Anolis sagrei: one gene and its partner. The protein of the gene in region 1 binds, or shares a complex with, the protein of each later gene. Links are inferred from orthologs where the notes say so. Each region holds a gene or a part of one and is shown on either strand. Other genes may lie near its edges. The genes, in order: NCKAP1 and CYFIP2.

The links.
Region 2: NCKAP1 (region 1) and CYFIP2 share a complex: the UniProt entries of both Homo sapiens proteins name them as parts of the WAVE1 complex. The link is inferred for Anolis sagrei from reciprocal best matches to the Homo sapiens genes NCKAP1 and CYFIP2.

Annotation. Positions count from the first base shown.
Region 1 is NC_090021.1:187,186,140-187,195,506, reverse strand, and holds the start of NCKAP1 (nck-associated protein 1), read right to left. Parts: upstream 4,272-9,367; 5' UTR 3,921-4,271; coding exon 3,813-3,920; intron 1-3,812. UniProt on the Homo sapiens protein: Part of the WAVE complex that regulates lamellipodia formation. The WAVE complex regulates actin filament reorganization via its interaction with the Arp2/3 complex. Actin remodeling activity is regulated by RAC1.
Region 2 is NC_090022.1:80,527,772-80,536,938, forward strand, and holds the start of CYFIP2 (cytoplasmic FMR1-interacting protein 2), read right to left. Parts: upstream 4,312-9,167; 5' UTR 4,189-4,311; intron 1-4,188. UniProt on the Homo sapiens protein: Involved in T-cell adhesion and p53/TP53-dependent induction of apoptosis. Does not bind RNA. As component of the WAVE1 complex, required for BDNF-NTRK2 endocytic trafficking and signaling from early endosomes.

The DNA of each region.
Region 1 (9,367 bases):
ACACTTGTATCTACAGATCAGTTGAAATTGTGAAGCAGCACAGATAAAACTTGATGTATCTTTTATGGGTTTGGAATGCAAATGATGAAGCAACTGTTTTGACAAGAATAAGCTATTTTTAAGTATCTCTGCTGTTGATATTTAGAAACAGCCTTATTGGTTAGTAATCCTAAGCCACATCATATGCAATTAAGTTAGCAATTTGTAACATGCTGGTTTTTTTTTTTTTAAAAAAAAGAAGCTTTTCTCAAGTTTGTACATTTGATCTCCCAGAAACAGCTCTTACTTGCCACAGGTGGGTTAGAAAATTACCGTATATACCAGCAGTTACTGCAGGTGATATGTTCCTGAACTTACTATAGAACCAGAAGCTGTGAATAATAGCAAACCCTACCAAAATGAGTACCTTCTGTTATCATAGACTCACTATGGAAGACATAGAACTAGGGAGGTATACTCTCACGGAATTTACTAGATATTTCATTACAACTCTTCTGTTAACTTCTGGTGGAAGCATACCACAGAATCGCCTGGAGGGCCAAGAAAATTCCTAGAGGGAACATATTTTGTTATATGTTAAACTGCAGGTACATGAGTACACACTGCATAATGTACTAATGAAGCTTTAGTACCAGACATATTTTCATTAGAGCAGTTTTAACTCTTTGTAAAAGTCAAATTTATGCAACACACTTTTGACTGGAAAAATCTTTATCTTTTCCTTTTACTGAAAGCACATGAACTATTTTCCCATTACAAATTAAGAGTGTCTGTTCAGGATCTCTTAATAGTGGCAAATTAATTTATATAGAGGAATCTTTAATTTTTTTTATGCTTCAGAATGTGTGCCTATTTTCCTGAGGAAAAAAGGCCAAATGAACCCCTGTTCTAGTTCTCAAGTTATGAACAATATAAGATTCTGTAAGTTTGTTAAGTTGAATTTGTTTGTAATTTGGAACAGGTACAAGTGTAACACCAGCCAGAAATATTTATTTTTGGATAGCTCAGGGAAGGGTTAACACTCTTGTGGTGTTTGTTTTGCTGCTTGTTCAGAAGATTTGACCTCACTTTCTGTCCCTGTGATAATTGGATTTTGAAAACTTTGGCTTGTTGGGGAAACAAGGATTGGTGAGAAAGCTTCAATGAAGACCCCTGTTCTCCATGATAACTCTTCCAGGAGTGAATTTCTCTTCCAACAGGTAGATTATCTCACTTCCTGTTGTCTCTCCCCCCTTGTCAACTGAGTTGTTTTAAGTCGGATGTTTGTATCTCGGGGACTGCCTGTATATGTAAATATGAACATGATTGTGCCCTGTATCACTCATTAATCCACCTAATCCAGCACTGCTTGGAAGTACAGCAGCAATGAAAAGTCACAGGCACAAAAATCAAAACTTGCTCTTGAAACTTATGCAGAAATTGAAAACAACATCAAGGAAACTCTGCTGTGGTAAGAAAATATCCATTCATGGGACAATGTTTTTAAAATGAATACATTCAGATAAAAATGCTAATTACTTGAATACAAGTTTGATAGACTCGGCTACATAAATGTCCACTAGTTTTTGAACTGCACCCAAACCACAAAAACAACCTTTAATATATGTGTTCATACAGTACAATACACTGGGTGAAATTATGAAAAGAAACGATCTCATACGCTGTTGGTTTTGGTTTTCCAGATCAATTAAGTCTCAACAGAAATGTCACAGATATATTACATTGGGAAGGAAGTATTTCTAGTGGCACGCTGATTATTGTAACGCATCGGTTTAGAATTTTAACTGATCACAAATCTTTCTCTTTTCTTCATGAAAATATCTCCTTCCCTTGGGTAGAAGAACAGCTGCTACCTAATCCTTGGAACAAATGTTCACATAGCGAACCATCTGAAAACATTCCCTGGAAGCTTTTTCCCCTTCAAACTGGAAAAAAAAGGATGCGTGTCTATTCAGAGAACTATAGCAAGAGCATGTCATTTTCTCCCTCAAGTCAGCTGCATGACTCACAAGGTGAGGTGGGAATGAGAAAAAGTGTAGGCTTCCTATACGCTGTAGGGGATCTTCCTTATTTCCGCATACAAGAGAAGACATTTTTAATTACATGTTAGATATGGAGGCAGCCATCCCTGCTGAATCCATTTCTTTTAAAAAACAAAAAACAAATCTGGAGTCTTGGATTTTCAGAATTGGGAAAAAGAGGAAATGGTTCTCCCTTACCACAACACATCCTGGCTGCTTCCTTTTTCCAGAGGAACAACCAGATGGTGAGAACTAAACGGTACATCCGGCCCAGGCCTTGTGTATGCAAATCCCCACAAAGGGAGATTGATAGAAACAACTGAGGGCCCTTCCATACAGCCATATAACCCAGAATATCTAGGCAAACCATCCACAATATCTGCTTTGAACAGGATTATCTGAGGCCCCTTCCTGGGCCCTTCCACACAGTCCTATATCCCAGAATTTCAAGGCAGAAAATCCCACATTATCTGAGTGTGGACTCAGATAATCCAGTTCAAATCAGATATTGAGGGATTTTCTGCCTTGAAATTCTGGCATATAAGGCTGTGTGGAAGGACCCCACACAGCTTAATAAAATCCCACATTTTTCTGCTTTGAGCTGGAATAAATGGTAGTGTGGACTCAGAGTCCTTCCACACAGCCCTATATCCCAGAATATCAAGGCAGAAAATCCCACAATATCTGCTTGGAAGTGGGGTCCCTTCCACACAGCTGAATAAAACCCCACATTTTCTGGCTTGAATGGGAATATGTGGCAGTGTGGACTCAGATATCCCAGTTCAAAGCAGATAATCTGGGTTATATGACTGTGTGGAAGGGCCCTGGGTTGTCAAGAGTCCACACTGTCATATAACTAAGGACCCTTCCACACAGCCCTATGTGCCAGATTATCAAGGCAGAAAATCCCACAATATCTGCTTTGAACTGGGTTATCTGAATCCACATTCAGATAATGTGGGATTTTCTGCCTTGATATTCTGGGATACAGGGCTGTGTGGAAGGGTCCTGGGTTGTCAAGCGTCCACACTGTCATATAACTAAGGGCCTTTCCATGCAGCCCATGACCCAGAATATCAAGGCAGAAAATCCCACAATATCTGCTTTGAACTGAGTTATCTGACTCCACTGTCAGATAATGTGGGATTTTCTGCCTTGATATTCTGGCATATAGGGCTGTGTGGAAGGAAGGGCCCTCAAACAGCTTCTCTCGAGGCCCTTCCACACAGCCATATAACCCAGAACATTAAGGCAGGATATCTGAGTCCACGCTGCCACATATCCCAGTTCAAAGCAGAGAATGTGGGGTTTTAGTCAGCTGTGTGGAAGAGGGCTGAAGAAACACAGGGCCTCCGCCTCAGAGCCAAACACAGCCTCGCTGACTAATGGAGGAAAAGGAGGGGGGGAGGAGAGAAAGAGAGAGAACACCTCCCCTCCTCAAGATTCCAGAGCTAAGCCCCGCCCCTCCGCGCGAGCCCCCTTCCCCGTATCTATCCGTGTGTGTGTGTATATAATATACGTCTATATAAAATGCTTGGGAAACGAACGCTGTCGAGGCCCGCGCGCCGGGAGAGAGAGGGGAGGGCGGAAGAGTGGGCGCGAGCCAAAGGAGAGCCGAGCAGGTTACGCTAATGGCGGCGCGAGGAAGCGGAAGGGAGGGGGGGAAGAATAACACATTAATAGAGTGCCGTTTCTCCACACAGACATATATATTGAGATAGATAAGGGAGTCCTTTCTCTCTCTCCCCTCCCCCCCCCCCCCCCCGCACGACGCAGCACACGCGCGCGCACCTTCTTGATGTTGTAGAGGCGCGTGAGCATGCCGACGCCGCGGTCGTTGAGGATGGTGAGCTTCTCGGCCAGCTTCTGCTGACTGGGCTGCAGCACCGAGCGCGACATCCTGGGAGACAGAGAGAGACAGAGAGAGGAGGAAAGAAGGGAAGAGACAGAGAGAGAAAGCAGAGGAGGAGGAGGAGGACGGGGGCGATAGGCGGCGGCTCCTCCTCCGTCAGTCAGTCACTCAGCCAGCCAGCCAGCCGCCTCCTCCTCTGGCCTTCCCTCACGCAGCCGCCATGGCCGGGCCGCCGCCGCCTCTGCTCCTCTCTTCCCCTCTCCCTCAGGCTCGGCTGCCTTCCTTAGGCGTGGCGGCGGCGGCGGCAGAAGCAGAGGCTCCAGCCCGGCCTCTGTTCCTGCTGCTGCTGCTTCTTCCCACGGAGAGGCCGGGCTCCTCCGCCCCACGTGACGCCGCCCTCTGCTGCCCCCTCCGGCGGGACAGCGCCAAGGAAAGCACGCGCGCGGTGGCTGCTGGGAGTTGTGGTCCCTCCAGGCCTCCCTCCGCCTTCTCCGCCCAACAGCCCTGGGGCCACCGAAACTACAACTTCCAGGATCCCGTAGCAGGGTTGACAGAGCGGTGGAACTCCTACTCGTATTCTGAGGATCGAATTATGAAGGCTTTTATAGCCGGAATCACTGGGTCGCTGTGAGTTTTCCGGGCTGTCTGGCCATGTTCCAGAAGCATTCTCTCCTGGCGTTTCGCCCACATCTATGACAGGCATCCTCAGAGGTTGTGAGGTCTATTGAAAACTAAGCAAGGGAGGTTTAAATATCCGTGGAAGGTCCGGGGTGGGAGAAAGAACTCTTGTCTGTTGGAGGCAAGTGTGAATGTTGCAGTTGGCCACACTGATTAACATTTATTTATTTATTTTACTAGCCATCCCCTGCCACGCGTTGCTGTGGCCCACATGGGGGTTCTGTGTGGGAGGTTTGGCCCAATTCTATCATTGGTGGGGTTCAGAATGCTCTGTGATTGTAGGTGAACTATAAATCCCAGCAACTACAACTCCCAAATGTCAGGATTCTATTTTCCCCAAACTCTACCAGTGTTCACATTTGGATATATTGAGTATTCGTGTAGAGTTTGGTCCAGATTTATCATTGTTTGACTGCACAGTGATCTCTTGATGTAGGTGAACTACAACTTCAAAACCAAAGGACATTGCCCACCAAACCCTTCCAGTATTTTCAGTTGGTCATGGGAGAACTGTGTGCCAAGTTTGGTTCAATTCCATCATTGGTGGGGTTCAGAATGCTCTTTGATTGTAGGTGAACTATAAATCCCAGCAACTACAACACCCAAATGACAAAATCAATTTTTTGTGGTGAAGGACATATGTTGGCCTGATAGGTTCCTTGTGTCCAAATTTGTCGTCAATTCCCCCAGTGGTTTTTGAGTTAATATCACAAACGAACATTACATTCAGTTCTTGTGGGTTTTTTCGGGCTATATGGCCATGTTCTAGAGGCATTTCTCCTGACGTTTCGCCTGCATCCATGGCAAGCATCCTCAGAGGTGAGGTCTGCTGGAACTGGGGAAAAAAGGGGTTTATATATCTGTGGAATGACCAGGGTGAGACAAAAGGCTTTTGTAACTTGGGCTAGGTGTGAATCTTTCAACTGACCACCTTGATTAGCATACAATGGGCTGACAAATGAACATTACATTTTTATTTATATAGATTTAAAACATTTATATTCCGCCCTTCTCACCCCGAAGGGGACTCAGGGCGGAGCACAGCATATATACGGCAAACATTCAATGCCGGGACACAAATTCACATACAATATATAAACATTAAAAAAAACATTTATCAAAATGTTAAAATACCCCATTTAAAACTATCCTAGTCATCTGTGTAAAATCTAATTGGTCATCTTTTCTATTGCCGCTTTATTGCCCTGTCCCGAAAGCTTGGTCCCACAGCCAAGTTTTTACCATCCTTCTAAAGGACAGGAAGGAGGAGGGCTGACCTGATCTCACCAGGAAGGTAGTTCCATAGCTGGGGAGCAATCACCGAGAAGGCCCTGTCTCTCGTCCCCACCAATTGTGCCTGTGACAATGGCGGGGCGGAAAGCAGGGCCTCCCCTGAGGATCTTAATCTCTGTGATGGTTCATAGGAGGAGATGCGTTCGGACAGGTAATTTGGGCCGGGGCTTGCAGCTTCAAAGCCTGGCTGGTTGCTTCCTGGGGGGATCTTTTGTTGAGAGGTGTTAGCTTGCCTACAAATGCCCATCCCCTGTTCAGATATCAGCCAGCACACCAAATCAAGAAATAGTTTTCGAAGATATTTATTTAATGTTTTGTTTTAATGAATTTGTTGATTGTTCTTATCATTATGATGGCACCGAATTGTGTTTGCTGTGAGGCTGCCCTGAGTCCCCCCTCGGGGGTGAGAAGTATATGAAATAAATAAATAAATAAATAAAATATACAGAGATATTGGAGTCACAGGAACACCTTAGCAAGCAAGAGCCCAAAAGTGGCAGGTTAAAACCCAGAACCTCAAGTCATACCGAATAAGAGACTTCCTCCTGGGCAGACTGTGCTCTGGCATCACGAGATGCAGAGCCAATCTTAAGAAGTGGAGTCACAAAGTGGAGTCCACGACATGTGAGTGTGGAAAAGAACAAATCACAGACCACCTACTACAATGCAACCTGAGCCCCTGCCACATACACAATGGAGGACCTTCTTATAGCAACACCAGAGGCACTCCAAGTGGCCAGCTACTGGTCAACTGATATTTAGAATAATGCTAAGTTTTTTTAAAACTTTGTTTTTTAAATACATTGCAACTGTACCCTCGGTTCACTTCTGATTGTTGTTGTTCATTCGTTCAGTCGTTTCCAATTCTTTGTGACCTCATGGACCAGTCCACGCCAGAGCTCCCTGTCAGCCGTCACCACCCCCAGCTCCTTCAAGATCAACCCAGTCACTTCAAGGGTGCCATCCATCCATCTTGTCCTTGGTCAGCTCCTCTTCCCTTTTCCCCAGCATAATTGTCTTCTCTAAGCTTTCCTTCCTTCTCATGATGTGGCCAAAGTACTTAATCTTTGCCTCTGCTATCCTTCCCTCCAATGAGCAGTCGGGCTTCTGATACGATAAATAAATAAGCTGGCCCTGATTGATTCTGGCACTGACTGACATTTGTGGAATCTCGAGGGTGGGAGAAAGAACTCTTCTCTGCTTGAGGCAGGTGTAGATGCTACTATGTTCAGCAAAGGACAAGAGGGATCCTCACCTCTGCAGGAGCCTGTATACTGTATACCATGCAGCTGTGGACAAGTCTACAAAGGCACCCCCAAACGCAGCATTGCCCAGACACGAATCAAGGAACATGAAAGACACTGCAGACTACTTCAACCAGAGAAGTCAGCCATAGCAGAGCACCTGATGAACCAACCTGGACACAGCATATTATCTGAGAACACAGAAATGTTGGACCACTAACAACCACCATTTTAGACTACACAGCGGTGTACAGGGAGCATACAACCCCCCTGTTGCGCCAGCTCCACTGGCTGCCGATCCAATTCCGAGCACAATTCAAAGTGCTGGTTTTGACCTACAAAACCCTATATGGTTCCGGCCCAGTGTATTTGTCCGAACGGATCTCCCTCTACGTCCCACCTTGAAGCTTAAGATCCTCTGGGGAGGCCCTGCTCTCGACTCCACCACTCTCACAAGTGAGGTTGGCGGGGACGAGGAGCAGGGCCTTCTCAGTGGTGGCCCCCCACCTGTGGAACTCACTCCCCGGGGAGATTAGATCGTCATCTTCCCTCTTGGCGTTCAGGAAAAAACTGAAGACCTGGATCTGGGAACAAGCCTTTGGTCATTCTGACAGCTAACTGAAGGATCTGATGATGGCAAGGACAAATGGAATGGAATGGATATATGGACTCTGAACCCTGAGCATGAGATTGCTTTATGATTTTATTATGTATTGATGTTTTTAATTAATTGTTGAATTGTTTGTATTTTGTACTGCTTGTGAATTGTCTTGGGCATCTAATTGTGCCCCCACTGTAAGCTGTCCTGAGTCCCCCCCGGGGTGAGAAGGGCGGGGTATAAGTAAATGAAATAAATAAATAAATACACAGAGAAGCCATTGAAATCCACAAGCATGTGGACAATTTCAACAGAAAGGAGGAAATCATGAAAATGAACAAAATCTGGCTACCAGTATTAAAAAAAACTCTAAAACTATAACAGTAAATAAAGAACAACACTCAAAAAACGGGAATTCCAGACAGGAAACAATCGGGACCAGCTAATCAACTCTCCCCCAGACAGGAAGTACAAATGTTAAAATATTGGCTTAAGATTAAAACACGTTAAAATAGTTCTTGCTAACGAAATGTAAATTTAAATTGACTGGGTAGGCCTGCCAGAAGAGATAGGTCTTTAATTGAATTTTAAATTCTGACAGCTCATTTGGCTGTCAAATCTCTTCCAGCAGGTCATTCCACAGTCTAGTGGCATACTTATATATTGAAACTAGGTCATACCTTTCCAAGTTATATGTAAAAGTAAAAAAATGCACCTGACTCAAGGAATACTAAAAAGCTTTTGAACAACTGCCAAGAATTATTGCTCTCCACCTCCGAAGTGTAGATGTGAAAATGAAACTGGGTAGACTAGTCTAGCAATCTAGCAGGTGAAAGTACAAGATCAGAAAAAATGTCTAGGGAGTGGGGAAATCAAAATGAAAACAGGAAGCTAAGAAGAAAATCCATGCAATTGTTGGACGAGCAATTACTTTTAAACTCATGTAGGAACATACTGTATTTTATTGATTTCAAGACACTCTTTCCTGTTCAAGGGGCTTAAAAATTGGGTGCACCTTACATTTGACAGTGTATTCGCGTCACTGTTTTAAAAAATTTCCCATGTTTTGCCAATGACGTGATACGTTTTAGTTTTGATGGGAAACCTGTTAGAAAATGCAAGGAATCAGTGAGTGTGTGTGTGTCAACTGTAAAATAAAGTGCATGAAGCCAATCGGTCGGGCAATGCATGGAGTGATGGCTTAGCCTAGAACTTTTGGAAACTTGCACTTTTGTTCAGGCTCAAGGCTATGCATGTGTTCAGAGAGACAGTTGGAAGAGAGAAGCAGAGTGAGAGAGAAACTGATTTGCTTCTTGGCTTCTGAAAAGAAAATCTCTCATATGGACAAAGAATTACCATTTTAAATCTCTCTGAAAAGACATTTAGTGAGTTGATGCAACTGATCATATTGTACATATGTCGATCTGAATTAAGAAGAGTAAACTACTTGTTCACCTGCGTTGCATATTTTCTTTCCTTGGTAAGGCAGTGTGTGGGCTGATCCAACAAACTTGTGGTTTGTTTTATATTCCACCACAAAACCCACCTTCATCCTGCTCCCCCAGTCCATTTTTTAACAAAGTGGTGCACTTTGTAAGTGTGTAGCCAGCCACTATTGCGAAGCAAGGTTTTGTTGTATCTTTGAAACAACCTTGAGTTACCGGGGCTATATTTCATTCAA
Region 2 (9,167 bases), on another chromosome or scaffold:
GCTTTTTAAAAGGCAAATAGAGAGACTCTGTTTTCATGGCTATAATAATTTTACATTTTGTTGCTTTTAAAATGTCTAAATGGGTCAAAGGGAAACACTGAAAATTAACACAGGAAAACTCCTATCACTTTAATTTTTAAGATTATGATTGGCTTAATGACTGCTTTCTTGATCACTTCTTTGGAGAAGTGACTCTTCCACTATGAGAACATCTGGGCTGGACAGATCTTGATCTAAAAATAGTTGATAGTAAGCCAGTTCTTTACATTTTACCACCTAAAGTCCTCCCTGCACACAAAGGTCTAAGTTCCCCTCTAATAAAAGAAGATGTGGAATAACACCTGCTCACTGCATGTTTTCTATTTCCTGTAGTCAACAGGGCAATTCAACAGCATTACTTGAGGTTCTTATGATATGAAATTCCACAGTCCCGGTCACCAAAACAACAGCAACAGATGGCCCTTCTGTTTCTGTATCAGCAACTTCAAATTCTGTGTTGGTTGTTTAAATTCAACCCCAACTGAGCACACACTAAAAAAAGACTTCCAGAGATATCTGGTGAGTTGTTGAAGGCTTTCATGGCTGGAATCACTGAGTTGCTGTGAGTTTTCTGGACTGTATGGCCATGTTCCAGAAGCATTCTCTCCTGACATTTTGCCCACAGCTATGGCAAGCATTCTGAGAGTTTGTGAGGTCTGTTGGAAATTAGAAGTCAGCCACTTGATGAACCAACCTGGACACACCATATTATTTGACAGCACATAAATGCTAGACCACTCTAACAACCACCATTTCAGAGAAGCCACAAGCATGTGGACAATTTCAGCAGAAAGGAGGAAACCATGAAAATGAACAAAATCAGTATTAAAAAAATTCTAAAACCAGGTCAGTAAATAAAGAGCAGCACTCATAAAACAGGGGAATTCCAGACAGGAAACAATCAAGGCCAGTTAACACTTCCCAACACAGGATTCCCCCAGGCAGGAAGCAGACAGGCTTTGAAGCTACAAGACCATTCAATGCTAATCAAGTTGGCCAATTGCAACATTCACACTTGCCTCCAACAGACAAGAGTTCTTTCTCCCACCCTGGACATTCCACAGATATATAAAACCCCACTTGCCTAGTTTCCAACTGACCCCTCAATCTCTGAGGATGCCTGGCACAGGTGTGAGCAAAACATCAGGAGAGAATGCTTCTGGAATGTAGCCATACAGCTCGTAAAACTCACAGCAACCCCTGCTATATAATATTGTTTTAATGTATTAAGAGGGATAAATGTAAAATGACATGGGAAGGAAATAACTGGAAAACCATGCTTGTTTTTTTTTTATTGCTCAGCTCCAAACAATGTTTGTGCAGAGCTGCACAAATTTGAAATCAACCTTAATTCTCAGTGGCTCTAAACCAGATCTTTCCAACCATTTCGTGTTGACTACACACTAATAGACATGCATCTTTTCATGACACAGTAATTCAGTTTCACTAGCAAACCAGAGGTTAAACAAACTTCTTATAAGAGATTCAGACACGTACATAAATTGCAGTACTGAAATGCATGGTACAAACAGCATATCTCATGAACAATTTTCATTTATATTTTTTAAAATATGATTTATTGATCATTTCCCATAGACTCAGAGGTTTCTTAAGTTCACATGACACACCTACACTCTGCAGCTGACAGACTTCACATGTCATGACACACAGTTTGGAAAGCTCTACTCTAAACCTTTCTTTCCCCGTTTCAGAAAATATTTTTACATGGCTGCTTATTTATTCAATTCTTCACTTCCACCACTTTTGTCATCTTTATTTTTCAGTTTGGAGAATGCGCACTCCAGCTGTGAATCCAAATCATTTCCCTTTGAACATTTTCCATTTACCTCCCACACCCGGATCTATTTGTGACTAGGCACCACACCTTCTGTTTTTCCAACTTCACACACGCACACACAATGGCAACATTGCCGGTCGACTGCAGAGCTCAGATGTGAACCCCAAAACCAACCCAATCTGGAGACTCAATAGCCATTGTGTTCCATAGGGTGCATCCACACTATAGAAACAATGCAGTTTGACACCACTTGGCTGAATGTTATGGAATCCTGGGAGAGGTGATTGGGTGAGGCACCACTGGCAGAGAAGGCTATTGACCTTGCAAAACTACAACTCCCGTGATTCCATAGCATTGAGCCATACCAGTTAAAGTATTGTCCAACTGTATTTATTCCACAGTGTAGATCAGGCATAGGCAAGCTTGGGCCCTCCAGGTGTTTTGGACTTCAACTCCCATAATTCCTAACAGCCTCAGGCTCTTTTCTTTTGCCCCCTCAGACGTTTAAGCAGCTGAGGGGGAAAAGGAAAGGTCCCGACTCCCGAGGCTGTTAGGAATTGTGGGAGTTGAAGTCCAAAACACCTGGAGGGTCCAAGTTGGCCCATGGCTGGTGTAAATGCACCCAATGATAACATTACTGATTCACTGTTGAGCTCAGATGTGATCCTCAAAGCCATTACTCAACTAAATCCAATTTGGATTTGACCAGGGCTGGATCTGCACTGACCTTAAATTAAAATTAAATTAAATTAAATTATTATTATTATTATTATTATATAACTCATTTCAAAGCAAATAATCTTGGATCTGAAATTGGCAGTGTGTTATATGGCAGTGTGGACGGGGCCTGGGTGTCCCTGCAGTCTGCTGGATGGTGGCTTTGCTCTCTTCCAACTTGAGGAGGGTTGTATGGAGCGCCAACAGGCACTGTGTTTCCTGGAGAAGCCCTGAGAGAGAGGGCCCTTCTACACAGCCCTATATGCCAGAATATCAAGGCAGAAAACCACACAATATTTGCTTTGAACTGGGTTATGTGAGGGCCCTTCCACACAGCCCTACATCCCAGAATATCAAGGCAGTAGATCCCACAATACAGTGTTCTCTTGCAACTTTGCGGTTCGCTTTTAGTGGACTCGCTGTTTTGTGGGTTTTTGAAAATATTAATATAAAATACAAAATATTTACATCCAGTGGAGGCCAGGAACCTTGGAAGTGTGGTGGCCTGAAGCGCGGTGGGGAAGGCCTGCCTCCCTGGCCTCCACAGATCCCGTAAGTGTGGCAGCCTGGGGTGCGGTGAGGAAGGCCTGCCTTCCTGGCCTGCTGCTGCCTGCATGGCTCTGAAGGATCTGCTGCGGTCTGCGGAGGCCAGGGAGGCAGGCCTTGGGATGGGCTGGGAGGTGGATAAGAAAATAATATATAATATATATAAAATAATGTATAAATATTAAAATTAATGTGGCATCCCTCTTTGTGGATTTTCACTTATCGTGGGTGGTCCTGGAATGGAACCCCCACGATAAGTGAGGGAACACTGTATTTGCTTTGAACTGTGAGGGCTCATCCACACAGCCCCGCATCCCAGAATATCAAGGCAGAAAATCCCACAATATTTGCTTTGAACTGGGTAATCTGAGTCTCCACTCTGATAATGTGGGATTTTCTGCCTTGATATTCTGGGATCTAGGGCTGTGTGGAAGGGACCAGAGACGCTCCCATCTTCTCCACCCTCCTCTCTCTCTCTCTCTCTCTCTCCCAGCAGGAGGGCTGCATGATCACACGCTCCTGGCTGGGTGCGCTCTCACAAATAAGGCGGCGGGGAAGAGCCCAGGTAGCTCGGAGCATTCTGGGAGATCTCTCAGAAAAGCCTTTCCTTGGTTGGGGCCCAAAGGCTGGAGGAGGAGGAGAAGGACAGCGGCACCTGCGCCTGCTCCGCCGCCTCCCCCGCTCGCTTCGGGGGGAAAATACCCGAAGCGAAGGCAGAATGAAGCACCTCTGGAAGAAGAAGAGGAGGAGGAGGAGGAGAAGCCTGTTGCCGGGAGGCTCCAATCATGGCAGCCTCGCCCTTCAGCCCAGGCTGTGACAGCCTTCCCCGAGCCCACCGGCGGCTTCCTTTTCTCATCACACGGCACCCGGGGGAAAGAGATGGAAGAGAAGAGCGGGGTGTCCCTGTTTCTCTCCGTTAGACAGAGAAGGCGCATCCGCAGCACCTGCGCTTTCGGCCCGTCGTTTCCCTAGCCTTCCCTCCCTCCATACTGAGCTTCCTAGCCTTGCTTGGCCTCCTCCTCCTCCCCCTCTTTCTGCAGCCTGCCTCTCCCTCTCTCTCCCCAACCCTCTGGGCGCCTCTTCTTTACCTGGGAGGCTGAGTCCGGCCCTCTGCGGATGGACTTCAGAAGCGCCGGGATGCGGCCGGGGAAGAGGCAGAGATGCTCCAGCGCCGCCGCAGTCTCCTCCTCCTCCTCCTCCTCAGCCGCCGCCAAAGCCCTCGCCGCCTCCTCCTCCTCCTCCTCCTCCTCCTCTCCCCGCTTCCTTTTCTTGCTGCCGCTGCCTCAGTGTATTTGTGTGGGCATATGGACGCGTGTGCGTGCCTCTCCCCTCCCTCTCTCTCTCCCTTTCGCACCGACAGAGCTAGGAAATGGCCGCAGCCTATGGGCTTGCTGGGCTCTCAATGCATCGCCCCCCCCCCCCCGCTCTCAGGAGGAGGAGGAGGAGGGGAAGGCTGGCTCTGCACACATTCACACAAACACGCATAGACACGTGTCCAGCCTGCTCCACTCTTGACCCTGGCTCCAGAGGGAGCTCCACCTGTTCGGCAGACAATAGGAGATGGGTGGTCATTCAGCTCCAGAGAAGAACCGGCTTAAACCAAAGGCAGAGACTTAGGCCCTTCCACACAGCCCTATATCCCAGAATATCAAGGCAGAAAATCCCACAAGATCTGCTTTGAATTGGGTTAATTGCGTCTACGCTCCGATAATGTGGTATTTTCAGATATCTCACTTCAAAGGAGATATTGTGGGATTTTATGCTTTGATATTCTGGGATATAGAGCTGTGTGGAAGGGTCCTGGGTTATCTGAGTCCACACTGCCATGCATTCCAATTCAAAGCAGAAAATGTGGGATTTTATTCAGCTGTGTGGAACAGCCCTCAGATAACCCAGTTCAAAGCAGATATTCTGGGTTATATATATCCTAATAACCCATGGATGAAATGTTGGTGGACCTTTGCACCTTTCACCTTTGAAACATGACCTGGCTCCCTCCTCCTGCTTCACATGGGCAGATCTTGTCCTCCTGTGGCCCTTCCAGACAGGCCCTATATATCCCAGGATCTGATCTCAGGTTTTCCCTTTATCCCAGATTATCTGGCAGTATGGACTCTTATAATGCAGTTTCAAGCAGAAATCCTGGGATCAGATCCTGGCCTGTCTGGAAGTAGTAGACCAGAGTTTTCCAAATATGTCAGCCTTTTCAGACATGGATCATTTCACAACACTGTGATTCATTTTACTAGCAAACCAGAGGTCAAATCAACCTCTCGTAAGAGGTACGGACCCTTACATCAATAGTAATAACAAAACGTACGGGAATGCAACATATCTCATGGAAGCCTTTCATTTATGTATGTTCTTTTAAAAATATATGACAGGCATCCTCAACTGTGGCCCTCCAGCTGTTTGGGCCTCCAACTCCCAGAAGCCCTAATGAGCTTGTTCAATTGTCAGGAATTCTGGGAGTTGAAGGCCCAAACAGCTGGAGGGCCACAGTTTGAGGATGCCTGATATATGACTTATTCCTTATAGACTCAGGGCCCTTCCAGACAAGCCCTATATCCCAGAATCTGATCATAGGCTTTCTGTTTATCCTAGATTATCTGGCAGTGCAGACTCATAATCCAGTTACAATCCTGTTCAAAACAGCAGTGTAGAAGGGGCCTCGGTGAACCAGCACCCATCAGGATTGGTAGGTGTATTTTTCAATTGCTTGAGAGTTGCTATTAAAAATTGGTCTCATACTATACCCAATAGTATGAGACCAATAGTATGAGACCATACCATAAACTTTGTACTGACTTGGTATTCATATTGAAATACAGTAATGAAAAGCAAACAAAGACAAATTGAATGTAAAATTTCTGCAAAAAATATTTTATTTAAATTTTGATTTAAAGTATTAATTCTTAGATATTTTGCTAGTTGATTGAGAATTCTGGTTGCTTGAGTTCCAGGTAAATAATTATTATAATTATAATCTTTATTTATAGACTTCCCTATCTCCCTGAAGGGACTCAGGATAGTTTCCAACAAGTATGGCAAACATTCAGTGCCCGAACTAAGGTAACTAAGCATCTACTACAGTATGAAAGGTTATTCTGTCAATAAATACTATAAGAGAAAATCTGAGAGTATCCATGCTCTGGTAATTGCCAGATCTGATACGACAAGTAAGTTGCATGATGTTTCCTTTAAAACCAGGTTGGAATTACAGCTTAATCAGTTGTTGTTGTTGTTGTTGTTGTTGTTGTTGTTGTTGTGTGCCTCAAAATCATTGTCAGTTTATGGCAACCCTCAGGCAAATCAATCATGGGATTTTCTTGGCAAGATTTCCTCAGAGAAGGATTTGGCTTTGCCTTCCTCTGAGGCTCAGAAAGAGTAACTTGCCCAAGGTCAGTCAGTGAGTTTCCATGATCAAGGGGGATTCGGGCACTGGTCTGCTACTAGAATCCTAGCTCAGTGCCCAAACCAATGCACCATACTGGCTCTCAACTCAGCAGGTACAGCTCTTGCATTGCTAAGATCCCGATTTGACCTGACCAACACCTTCTGATAGTTGCATTGCCTTCTGTTCTGTTTCCCAACTCACTTCAGAGAGCTGTATGGCTTCAGACACATATTTGTTCACATGCATCAAGGTCATATTTTACTCCTTTGGACACTAGAACATGAACCAACATGAACCAATGGGTTCAAATTACAAGAAAATGGATTGCATCTAAACATTTGGAAGAAACTCTTAAGAGCTATTTGATTGTGGAATGAACTGGTGTTGGGGTGGTGGATTCCGCATCTTGGGGATCTTTAAACAGAGATTGGATAGGCATCTTTTAGCAGTGCTTTTGTATATTTCTGCATGGCAGAGCATTGGACTACTAGATGCAGGCCCGTAGCCAGGAATTCGATTCGGGGGGGGGGGGGGGCTGAGTCTGAGTGAAAGAGGCTCTACCCTAGCAAACCTTTTGTATCGTTACCCCAATACCCCCATGCATATGGAATATATTGAGTATGGTGATCAGATCATGATATGAATAAACATAACAGTTTAAATAATGCACCAGTAAGGCCTTTTCGTGAACCACCATGAGAATTTCGGGAGGGTGGGGGGCTGAAGCCCCTCAAGCCCCCCCCCCCCCCCCGGCTACATGCCTGACTAGATGGACCTTGTGGTCTCTTCCAACACTGTGATTCTATATATTTTGGACATCTGGGTCCCACTCATCACTCATGTCATGTTATTACGGAAAAGACCATTTGATTGTGACTTCATGTTTTGTTTTTGGGGGGGGGGGGGTTGTATTTAATTCAAAAATGGCAGGTTGCTTGGTGGCCATGAGATCTCCTAATTTCCTTAAAGATGGAATGGAAATAGAGAGCAGAAGACATGGTGATAATGAAGTGGTTCTTCTGATATAGAACAGAATAATACACAGAAACTTTCCACCCTGGCTTCGGTCAGGCACCATTACAAGGATTTGTGTTCGTAGTTATTATACAGCCTGTTGACTTGAAGCATCTGAGGTTGTCCAGTAACAATAATAAATCAGATTACATCATATAGAGTGCTTTTGGTTCTTCTTTCTTGCTTGTGTGGCAGTCTACAGACATTGACTGCATTTTTCTGTTTATAAGATAATTTCCATCCAAGTTTGGTTACAGAGGACAATCTGTAGTTAGGATGTTATATTTTCAATATGGGCTCAGTACACGAATTTTGTCAGTACACGAAAATACCAATATTCCTATATTTGATTTCTTACTGCTTCCAGAACCAAGCCTTATGGCAATTTAAATCTCACACTACAGTACGCTGGGGAAAAAGAATTAATCTAAGAGTAACCTTGAAAAGATTTACAGGTTTTTCTTTATGTGGATGAATAATCCTATTAGCCATAATGGGTATGCATTCTATCCTCCTTACACAAAGCTAAATATATTCATAAATGTTCATTGGGTAGGAGCCTGAACATTTTGGATTATGAACTGGAATAAATGTCATGACATTTCTAAGCAGGAGAGGTCATTTACAATCTTTCAATTACTATGATCAAGATCAGTGAACTTTCAAGCATATTTCAGCAAAAAAAAATGAGAATAATTTACAAGTTTTGCTAGTTGTCTAGAGTGTTACTGTGCAAAGGGATCTTACATCAGTAAATAAAAGAAGTTACATCTTCTAAAAGATAGATTACGTCTATTTTCTCAGATACATAGAGTGGAGTGTGAGTGGTATTTCAGAATACTATTCTCACCATTGAGAGGAACAGAAGTGAAAATCTGACAAAGCAGCCTAGGTTCTCAAATTACAAGCAGTAAATGATGGCCATATATTTAACATCTAAGTAAAGACAGAAAGAAATGGTGGAGAATATTGGCTCACATCTTCTTAGTATTGCTGCTACCAGTGATGAAAGTACAATAAAAAGGGAGCTGTGCCACACAGCAAAATGAAGACAGCAATAGAAAATTGCCTTAACAAGCTTGTTTCCAGTGTATTTTGAACATAACACTATTGCATTTGACTAGAGTAAAAATTCTTGATGTCCTCTACTTTGTTGCAGAGTAATTTTTAAATTGCCCAGCTGTGTGCCTAGTGCCAATCATGTTTCTGAACTTGAAGAAGCTGTTTTCTCCATATAATTATGAGAGGCATGTGATTACTATATAATCTGTTTTCAATAGAATGTCAAGATACCTCTAAATGCTCTCTAAATCCAGTCATTACCTTGAAGCTTGTACTTATGAGAGTTATCAAAGTTTAGACCTTAATGCAGTTATAGCTGTGCTCAGTGAGTTAATATTAGCAATAATAGGTGGTCCTGGATGTGAATACATGGCTTTGCTAGCATTGCAAGACACATGCAGCAAATTCAGCATATTGTGATGCAGATGGACAAAGGAAATTTACACAAAGGAAATTTACATACAGACCTCTGCTATGGACATAGCTGTCCTGGCAGAACAAGTGTTTATTATAAAATTCTCATTTTAAGGTCACTTGGATATATAAGAATAAAAATAATTATTTTAATAAAAGACCTACAAAACATATATTAAA